Linked DNA regions of Oryctolagus cuniculus. The protein of the gene in region 1 purifies or fractionates together with the protein of each later gene. This does not show direct contact. Links are inferred from orthologs where the notes say so. Each region holds a gene or a part of one and is shown on either strand. Other genes may lie near its edges.

Evidence for each region.
Region 2: the proteins of E3 SUMO-protein ligase RanBP2 (region 1) and BICD2 purify together in Homo sapiens (affinity purification with western blotting; 3 studies listed by BioGRID and IntAct, with this or other methods). This does not show direct contact. The link is inferred for Oryctolagus cuniculus from reciprocal best matches to the Homo sapiens genes RANBP2 and BICD2.

The regions. Positions count from the first base shown.
Region 1 is NC_091433.1:100,112,355-100,117,383, reverse strand, and holds the start of E3 SUMO-protein ligase RanBP2, read left to right. Parts: upstream 1-1,682; 5' UTR 1,683-1,820; coding exon 1,821-1,892; intron 1,893-2,484; exon of another isoform or gene 2,485-2,595; intron 2,596-5,029. UniProt on the Homo sapiens protein: E3 SUMO-protein ligase which facilitates SUMO1 and SUMO2 conjugation by UBE2I. Involved in transport factor (Ran-GTP, karyopherin)-mediated protein import via the F-G repeat-containing domain which acts as a docking site for substrates.
Region 2 is NC_091432.1:146,065,353-146,070,224, reverse strand, and holds the start of BICD2 (protein bicaudal D homolog 2), read right to left. Parts: upstream 2,994-4,872; 5' UTR 2,932-2,993; intron 2,924-2,931; exon of another isoform or gene 2,868-2,923; 5' UTR 2,827-2,867; coding exon 2,587-2,826; intron 1-2,586. UniProt on the Homo sapiens protein: Acts as an adapter protein linking the dynein motor complex to various cargos and converts dynein from a non-processive to a highly processive motor in the presence of dynactin.

The DNA.
Region 1 (5,029 bases):
CCTAGAGGGAGAGAGAACTCCCATCTGCTGGTTCACTCCCCAAATGCCTGTAATGTCTGGGGGCTGAGCCAGGCTTAAACCAGCAACCAGGAATTCAATCCAGGTATCTCACAGGGGTAGCAGGACCCCAATTACTTGAGCTCTCACTGCTGCCTCCTAGGGTCTACTGGGGGAAACTGGAGTCCGGAGCCAGGGCTGGGAATTGAATCCAGGTATTCCACAATATGGACCTCTTCACTGCGAGGTTAAGCGCTGGTCCTAAGAGGTTTTTTGAATTCCTCATGAAGGTTCTCTCCTTGGTCCACTTCTCAGTATGTTCAACTTAACAAAGATCAGTATTTTTCACTAGGTGAGTGTGTTTGGGCAAGCTGTTTTAGTGCCCATTTTCTTGGTCTGTTGGAAAACATAAGATAACAAATAACAGTACACTTGGAAAGTCATTGGGAAAATTAAAAGAGTTAATGCATGTGAAGTGCTATGAAAAGAGCCTGCAGCAGCAAGTGTTTACTTGTTAGTTACGGCTATTTTTACCAACATACTTCCCAAGGCTAACTTGTAGTTCCACTTATTTCCTGAGGGTTCTGACTTCCAAGTCTGTCACAGATCTTTGTCTTATCCTTTCATCTACATACGAGGCCAACTCCATCTCTATGTATTTCACCTCAAGGGAAAGAAACCAGCTACCTAAAATAGGATATTCCATCCCAAGCTAGATGCTCTTTACATATTATTTGTTAAAGTACAGCAGTCACACTGGTAACCCAAGAATCATCTTTTCTTACCACAAAGATTGAAATAAAGAAAAAGATCTGTTTTTCCTTCTTCTTCATAAAGGTAATGCTTGTTCAATATAGAAAACACGGAAAATCCAAAACGGATAAAGATTACTCAGGGTCGGTGCTGTGGAGTAGCCGGTAAAGCCGCTGCCTGCAGTGCCGGCATCCCATATGGACACTGGTTCATGTTCTGGCAGCTCCACTTCCGATCCAGCTCTCTGCTGTGGCCTGGGAGAGCAGTGGAAGATGGCCCAAGTCCTTGGGCCCTGCACCCCATGGGAGACCAGGAGAAGCACCTGGCTCCTGGCTTCGGATCAGTGCTGTGCGCCGGCCACGGCGGCCATTGGAGGGTGAACCAACGGCAAAAGAAGACCTTTCTCTCTGTCTCTCTCACTGTCCACTCTGCCTGTCAAAAAAAAAAAAAAAAAAAAAAAAAAAAGGAAAGAAAGAAAAAAGGATTAGTACTATCAAGAATTCGATGTGTCCTGTCCTTCGGCCACTGAAATGTAAGTTGCAATCCGCCAAAAAATAGTATTTGTGGCCTATCTTTTTAAACGCATACGTTTTAAAATAAGTGCTTCGTATTCACATGTGTCCCACACGATGTACTTTAGCCAATCACCTCCAGGATTGCGCCAATTTACAGGCTCAACCAAAATGGCCCGACATCTTTTTCCTTCCACAACATCACGTGATTTTAACTAAGGCCAAACACGGAACGCTCTTAGGAACCCACGAGGTAAAACGTTATCTCGCGGCGGTGAACACCGGGCTCTCCGCCGCAAGCAGGAGAATCGGCCTCAGATTCGGCCACCCCGGCTGCGCCCGCTCGGGTAGAGCCCTCGGCCGGCAGTTCTAGGCGGGAGCGCCGCACTCGATGGCGTGGCGCACAGCGATGACGCAGCACGCACGCACGCCGCCCCGCCCCCTCCGCCGGCGACTGCGCTGCGTCACGGGTTTTCAAGCGCTTCGCTGCTGGACCCTGCGACCGCAGCGGGGCCTAACGCCTGCCGGCCGCTCGCCGGGAGTCCGGTCGGCGGCGCGATGAGGCGCAGCAAGGCCGACGTGGAGCGGTATATCGCTTCGGTGCAGGGCTCCGCCCCGTCGCCGCGAGAGGTGAGTCGTGTCCGGAGAGGCCGGGCCCTGGCCCAGCGGCGGCGCCGGCGCCATGGCTCCCGGCGCCAACCGCTCCCTGGCGCGTGCGGCGGAGGTCCGGGGCGGCTCGCCCTGCCCTGTGGGCGGCGCGGCGCTCGGGAGCGCTCGGGGAGGGGCGTGGGGGCGCGGGGGACGTCGGCGTTGCCTGCTTCCTGGGGCGGGGCGGGGGGCCTTCGTCCTCGTCAGGCCTGTTCCGTGCGGCCCGCGCTGCCCGGGCCCCCGGCTGGCGCCTCGGGCGGGCTCTGCCGTCCCGCTGCGGCCGCCTCTGGGCAGGGCGGCTGTTGGAACGCGGCGGGCTGTCCCCGCTGTGACGCTGCCGCGGCCGGGCAGGCGCCCTGGACTGCGGCCCGAGCGCGGGTGACCACGCGCAGTCCTCTCAGCCCCGCACGCCGAGCAAGCTGCTGTTTTATTTGCGGCCGCTTCCCCTTTACAGACGGGGTGCTCTGAGCTCAGAGTTTGCAAGTCTTTTTCCCGACAGCCAGTTCTGAGCACGTTTCTCCCTCCTGGATTACTTGGAGGCGGCGGCGGGGAGTGGGGCAGGTTACCACCGGTGGGCGCGCGCCGGCTCGTTGGTCTGCCTGCAGTTGAGTAGTTGCGACCCTGCCCTGGCAGACGCAGGTGGAGAGCGCGTTGAGTATCCCATCTGTAAAGCGGGCTTGATGAGGTGCGTGGTCGGTGCCCAACACCTCCAACGACGCCTGGCACGCCGTCAGCCCTACATGGGCGTCAGCTGCATCTCCTGGCGCTGGTGGTGTTGATGTTGGAAGTGAAGGTCTAGACGGCTGCTTCTGCATGGACGTGCGGGAAACGAGAAGTCTGTGTTGGGTGCAGAAAAGTTGTAAAGTTTTTGTATGGTTTTTTCCATAACACGCATTTCCCACGAACTTTGAGTTCTCATATTAGTGGTTGATCATGATTACAGTGCAACATAACGTGCCTTGTATCGTAGCCTAGTTATCTTACTTTATGCTCCAATAACTAAATACTGAGTCCTGCAGACGGGGAAGGTACTTGTCCAGGGCCAAGTGGATGGCTCAGCAGGGTGTTGGCAGTGGGTCTGATTGGCTTTTTTAGGAATAGTGTAACGGCCTATAGTCTGTCTCTCTGGAGAAGACACATAGGTTCCTACGTGCAGATGCCATTTCAAATCGCTGGCATAGTTTTTGTTTAAAGATTTATTCATTTATTTGAAAGGCAGAGTTGGTGGGGGCTGGGGACTCGAAGAGAGAGAGCTTCAATCCGCTGCTTCGTTCCCCAAATGGCTGTAAGGGGCAGAGCTGGGCTGTTCTGAGCCAGCAGCCGGGGCTTCTTCCGGGTCTCCTGTGTGGGTTCAGGGTCCCAAGCACTTGGGCCGTCCTCCGCTGCTTTCCCAGGCCCATTAGCAGGGAGCTGGATTGGAAGTGGAGCAGGTGGGACTATACCAGCTGCTGCCCATATGGGATGCTGGCACTGCAGACAGTGGCTTTACCTGCTGTATCACAGACCTGCCCCTGCATAGTCTTAAGTATGAATGTGTTAATAGTGTTAGAACCTTGTTGAAGGTTTCTGTAACTCCTAAGACTGGTATACTTTTTTTTTTGTTCTTATTTTTTGAAGCAAGTTTAGCATCTCCATAAGATTTTTTTTTTAAGATTTATTTATTTATTTGAAAGAGTTACAGAAGGAGAGGCAGAGAGAGGTTCTCCCTCCGCTGGTTCACTCACCAATTGGCCACAATGGCTGGAGCTGTGCCGATCTGAACCAGAAGCCAGGAGCTTCTTCAGGGTCTCCCATGTGGGTGCAGGGGCCCAAGGACTTGGGCCATCTTCCATTGCTTACCCAGGCCACAGCCGAGAGCTGGATCAGAAGTGGAGCAGCCAGGACTCGAACCGGTGCCCATATGAGATGCCGGCACTGCAGGCAGCGGCTTTGGCCCCCCTCCATGAGATTCTTAGTGGGGACCTTGGCTCTCAAATGTTAAGAAGCTGCCGCCTGTAGTTGCAGCCAATTGGGAAGTGAACCAGCAGATGGAAGACCTCTCTCTCTGCTTCTCTTTCTCTCTGTGTAACTCTTTCAAAGAAATTAAAAAACAAAAAACAAACAAACAAAAAAAACACGGTTTGAGACAGAAGGTAGAGTATTTCTACTATATAATTTCTGTCAGATAAAGAGGATTAGTTATGGCCACCTCTCAAACTTGAAGAATATTGTTTTAATTGGGTATTTTTCTTAAAGTGGATGCCTGAGAACTTCAGCAAAATATGAAGTAGCTAGTATGTAACTTTACAATGTGTGAAGATATTTTCTGTATTTTTTTAAAGACATTTTCGGAAGGGGGCAGCCAGGACATGAGCTGGCACCCATATGGGATGCTGGCACTGCAGGCAGAGGGTTAGCCTCCTGTGCCGCAGTGTCAGCCCATGAAGGTATTTTCTAAAGTTAGATCTGAATGCAATGTCAAAATAGGGTGAGTTGGATAATTTGGAAGGGGCTTGCTGGTGGAGGGGGCAGCAGCAGCTGTGAAGAGTGGGGAGAGAGGCACTGGCATTGTGGTGCAGCAGGTTGCATTTCCTGCGATTTCAGCATCCAGTATCCCGGTGCTGGTTCAAGTTCGGCCGCTCTGCTTCCCATGCAGCTCCCTGCTAATGCACCTGGAAAGCAGCGGAAGCTGGCCCAAGTGCCTGGCCCCTGCATCCGCTTGGGAGACCTGGATGCAGTTGTGGGCTCCTGTCTTGGCCTGCCCAGGCTGGGCTGTTGTGGCCATCTGGGCAGTGAACCAGTGGATGGAAGATCTCTGTCTCACTCTCCCTGTAACTCTGCCTTTCAAATAAATAAATAAATAAATGTTTAGCATTTTTTGAAAATAAAAGAATGGAGAGAGGTTAGTGCTTAATCTCTCATTTTGGCAGAGTCTGGCCATTCGTGAACTGACTGTACTTCCTAGGATGTGGAGCTCTGGGGTTTCTTGATACGTGTAGAATCTCATATGTTCCTAGTCTTCACTGAGTTTTCATTTGTTCATGTGCTTGTAGCTGTACCATGTTTCTGCTTCTTCACATCTACTTTTGTCCTTGTTGAAACTATTCTTTCTGTAATATTGCTTTTTACATATAATTTCT
Region 2 (4,872 bases), on another chromosome or scaffold:
CCATTATCTTTCGATTCCAGTGGCTGCCTCTCTGACTATAGGGCCCTGCAAACAAGCTCAGTTCCGCACTTTGGGGATTTTTTTTAGGGCCCTTACCAGGCTTCTTCACATGTAAGCAGACCTCTGCCCCTACCTGCCCCCTAAAAAGCCCTAGGCCCACCCCAACACCCCTGTCTCCTTGAAGTAAGACATGCCATAGTCACTTAGGACCAGGAAAACCACGCAGCTCAGCTAAGTCCACCTAGTTTGCTTCCCCATCATGCCAAGGAGAGGACTCAGTAGGACCTGGGACAGAAGTAGCCCTCAGTGAGGTTCAAAAGATCAACAACAAAACGAACCAGTGGGCATCCTCCCATATCCCATATGGGCACCAGTTTGGGTCCCGGCTGCTCCAGCTCCCATTCAGCTTCCTACTACTCCTGGGAAGGCAGTGGAGGACGGCCCAAGTGCTTGGGCCCCTGTACCCAAGTGCAAGATCTGGAAGCTCCTGGCTCCTGGCTTCAACCTGGCCCAGCCCTGGCCCTTGCAGTCATTTGGGGAGTGAACCAGAGAATGGAAGATCTCTCTCTCTCTGTCCCTCTTTATAACTCTGCCTTTCAAATAAACAAAATAAATCTTAAAAAAATTAATATTAAAAAATCTTGACGTGTGAAATAAGAGATGATATTTTCAATGACGATACAAAGCTGAACAGGTTAACAAGAGCCTGTACTGGCAGAGGTGAGGACCAGGCACACTGTCCAGGGAGAGGGACTGGGAGCAGCTACTGGATCTGAGGCATGTTCAGCCCTGTTCATCTGAGCAGAAATCTTATCCCACTTCACAAAGCGGAGGGAGCAACTTGTCCAAAGCTAGGCTGCCAGTACACGGAGGAACCAGGAGGTGACTAAACCAGGTGAGCAGATGCCCAAAGAGCTCCTACAGCTGCAGCTGCACCCTCTTCCCTGTGCTAGGACCTCAGCCTCCAGACACATGCTGGGTAACTGAGCCAAGATTCCTCGTGCTGCCAAAATGTTTATGTCCCACCAGCAAGGAGCTGGCAACTGAAAGGCCCCACAGTGGAGCCAAGTTAGGTCAGTGACAGTCCCTTATTACAGCGGACACTGCCGGAGAAACACTGAACACAGAAAGGGATTGTGGGGGCTGCCCAGCGCTGGGAGGGCTAGGGGAAGAGCACTGCCTGCCTGGAGGAGGGGGGATCGCAGCTGGCAGAGTGCGTGAGCCTCACCACAGGGCACTGCCACCCCTTATCACAGCCCCTCCCTGGAAGGGGGCCACATGTCCACCCAGTACCAGTGGGGCCTGGCTGCGAGAGGACACCAGTGCCTGCTGACAGACAGCATCAATGTCCACAGCCCCACCCACGGGCGATGAGGCCTTCACTGATGCCGGGTTCCCTGCTCTGCCCAGCGTGAAGCTAAACACCCTCGTGGATTAACTCACTCTCTCCTCTCTCCCATCATGAACAGGGGATTCTACAGGTCTCCTGAGGGAGGCAACAGAGGCTCCAAAGGGTCCCGGTCCCTATGGAGTGGGGCTGGCGGCGCTGCACCAAGAGCCAAGAGCTTACTGGGACAGAGTCCAGGTAGGAAAGGGAGGCACCTGTCAGAAAGGGACTGGCCACACCAGGCCTTTCCAAATATACCGCTCTTTTATAAGGGGGCAAAGCTGTACCCCCATTTTGCCCAGGAGGAGGCTAAGATTCATGGAGGGTTCCTGCCCACAGCCATCACCAGCATGGGACAGCGCCCGGGTTCAAACCCACCCAGGAAGTAACTTCTCCCTCCAACCTCCAGAGCAGTGCTGGAGAGTCGGGGTGGGGTGGGGGGGTGGGGGGTGCGGCAGAGACAGAAACGAAACATTCTCAGGCTGCAGCAGGATTGCCCGGGACCCTCGCTGCCACGGCACCGCCTCTCGGGCTCTCAGGCAGCGCGAGGGAGGGGAGCTAGCTCCCCCCCTCTGCCCACAGAGAGACGACACAGACACTGAAGTGTCCCTCCAGAAGGGACACAGACGGCACCGCAGGAAAGGCCCAGGAGAAGAGGACGGAAGCGGGCAAGGGAAGTCACGCATTCCAGCCAGCGCGGCGCAACAACAGCGGAGAGGGCCTGAAGACCCCGAACACGCAGCCCGAACCCCGACTCCCAGGACTCACGGGATGCAGCGGCTTCGCCCGGAGAGGGGAAGCGATGCGCCTGATGGTGACAGCAGGGGACACCCAGGCCAGCCACTTCCTAGTGGGTCACCTGCGTCCCTGACCGCAGCATCTGGCCTACCCCCACCCCCCGGACTCGGGCCAGTGACCCAAGCCCAACCCTGCCAGGGAGCCCGGATCCCGAGGCCGCGGCCCGGCCCACTCCCACGCCCCGCCCGAGCCCCGACCCCAGCACCGCAGGCCTGCCCTCCGCACCCCGTGCCGGGCAGGGTGACCTCAGCCGGCCCAGAGCCGGGGAGGACGCCTGCAGGCCCTGGCAGGGGTGAAGGTCCGAGACGGGGTCGCAGGCAGGGTCGCAGACTCAGGCCCGCGCGGCAGGGGTCGCCTGCTCAGACTCGGGTGGGGTGGATGTCGGGGGGGCGGCGACTCACTTCTTTGAGCTGCTCCATCTCGCTGCGGATAGCCTCGTAGTCCACCTCCAGCTCCTCAAACTGCAGCTTTAGCTGGTGCTTCTCCTCCAGTACCGCCAGCCCATACTCGGCCGCCTGGATCTTCTCGCGCGTGGTCTCGGCCAGCTCGTGAGACAGCCGCTTCAGCTCCGCGCGCAGCCACTCGGGCTGCGCCTCCATCACCAGCCGCGCGTACTCCTCCTCCTCCGACGGCGCCGACATGGTGGCCGCGAGCCGGGCCGGCTCCCCCGAGGCCGCCGCAGGCCGGGCCCTCCTCAGCCACCACCGCCGCCGCCGCCGCCGCCGCCGCCGCCGCCGCCGCCGCAGCCGCCCAGCCCCGACGGCCGCCCGCGCCGCCACCGCCCCTCCCCGCGCGGGGAACGCCGGGGACTGCAGTCCGCATCGCCTACATGTCCCGTCGTGCCCAGCGCGCGCCCGACCCCGTTCGTGATTGGTCCGTGCCCCGAGGGGGCGGTCCCTCAGCGCCATTGCCTCCGCCCTGGAGATTGTGAGGACTGCGGTCCCGTCTCGCACCGCCTACCCGGCCCGTCGTGCCTTACGCGCTTTCAGCCCCGGCCGTGATTGGCCCGTGACGCCGCCATCACAGCCGGGTGACAGGGCTGCTTCCGGTGCCCCGGACGGCGCGCACCGAGTCCGGCATCCCAAGATGGGAAAGTGGTGGCGATGTGCTATGGGGGTGCGGGAAGATCGAGAGGTCTCAGGACTTGAACCCAGGCTCTGCTTCGTCTTGCGACTCCTTAGCCCTTCAGGATGTGTTCATGGGAATAAAGATGGGTCCATAAGCGCGGTGTCGTTAATGTGCTAGAGTTGCTGCACCTGCGTCCATTTTAGGCTTGACTTCCTTCAAACTGGGGTGTCCATCGCCTTTGAACTAAATAACCGCCCTTCACTCCGATGTGGTTTGTGTGACATAACCTGCTTGTTCCTCATCCCACAGCTGCTAACCACCACAGAACGAAATGATAGGGACAGAGTCATGACAACAAAGACATCCATCGCTCCTGTTTTCTTTAGACACAAGCCCCGAGGCAAAGCCCGAGATGAAGGCATAATCCCACAGCTCCCGCCTCCCCTGCCTCCCCCATAGACCAGTTGGCCTCCCTTTGGCACCTCTCACCTCCGGCATCTGTGAGGAATGATTTCTGTGTTTCGTATGTTTGGATGTCTCACCTGGCGCACACACAAGCACTTAATTACATTCCCCATGCACCACCACCCTTCTAGTCAGGACATCCCTAGAGAGTGGTTATTTTGGCTTACAGGCTCTGAGAGAGTCCTCAAGACCAGATTAGAAAGGAGAAACCATAACAATACAGAGGTCAAGGGCACACAGGGCACTGGCGCTGTTATTCAGTGCCCGGTCCACATCGGCATTGCACCGGAATCCCAGCACTGTATTGTGTATGTGGCTGGGTTCCAGTTGAATTCAGTCAACAGGTCTCGAGTGTTTTCAGACTAGTGGTGTGCACACAGTTGTACATTTCTGACAGGGACCAGCACTGAAGTGTTGCTGAGTTCCCAGCACAGGGGCAGGCACATGATGTCAATGTCATGCCCTTGGTCATCCCCGGCTTTTCCACTGAAATCCACATGATGGGAGAAAGACATTTTGAGACCCTGCAAATATCCTGTTGAAACCGGAGGCTGACCCCCCTAAAAGTCCCTTCGTGGTCGCCATATGATATCCAAATATGGGGTGCCATATGATATCACCGTGTGCTAATTAATAAATTCCCAATATTAATAAGCCTGTGTGGGTTCTTGCATAATATTCAGAAAAGAATTCTGAATACCGGCATAAATGAACGAGGCAGCATGCTAAGTTTTTAAGCCTTTTATTCAGTGAGGGAAATACATAGGAGAGTGAGGGCCCTGTCTAAAAGAGAGAGGAATCTGGATGCACGCTGAGTACCAGGAGCCAGCCACATGGAGGACCATGTAGGCCAGGAAGCATGGGGCTGGTGGCCCGAAGGCCATGCGCCCTGGAGGCACAGGGCAGCACCAGCCCATGCTGGCAAAGGACCAAAGAAAAAGGGCTGGGTCCACCATGTCACAAGCTTTTAACCCACTTTCAAAAGGAGTGCTTAATTAATCTGATTGGCTGGTGGGCACACAGGTGTGGTCAGGTAGGGGCATGAGGTCACATGGGGGCATGGTGAAGGTGTGGTCTTCCAGCTCACAAGCCTGATCAATTTTATTCTATATGCCTGCCTACATCACTGTCACTCCTCAAACCTTGACCCACTG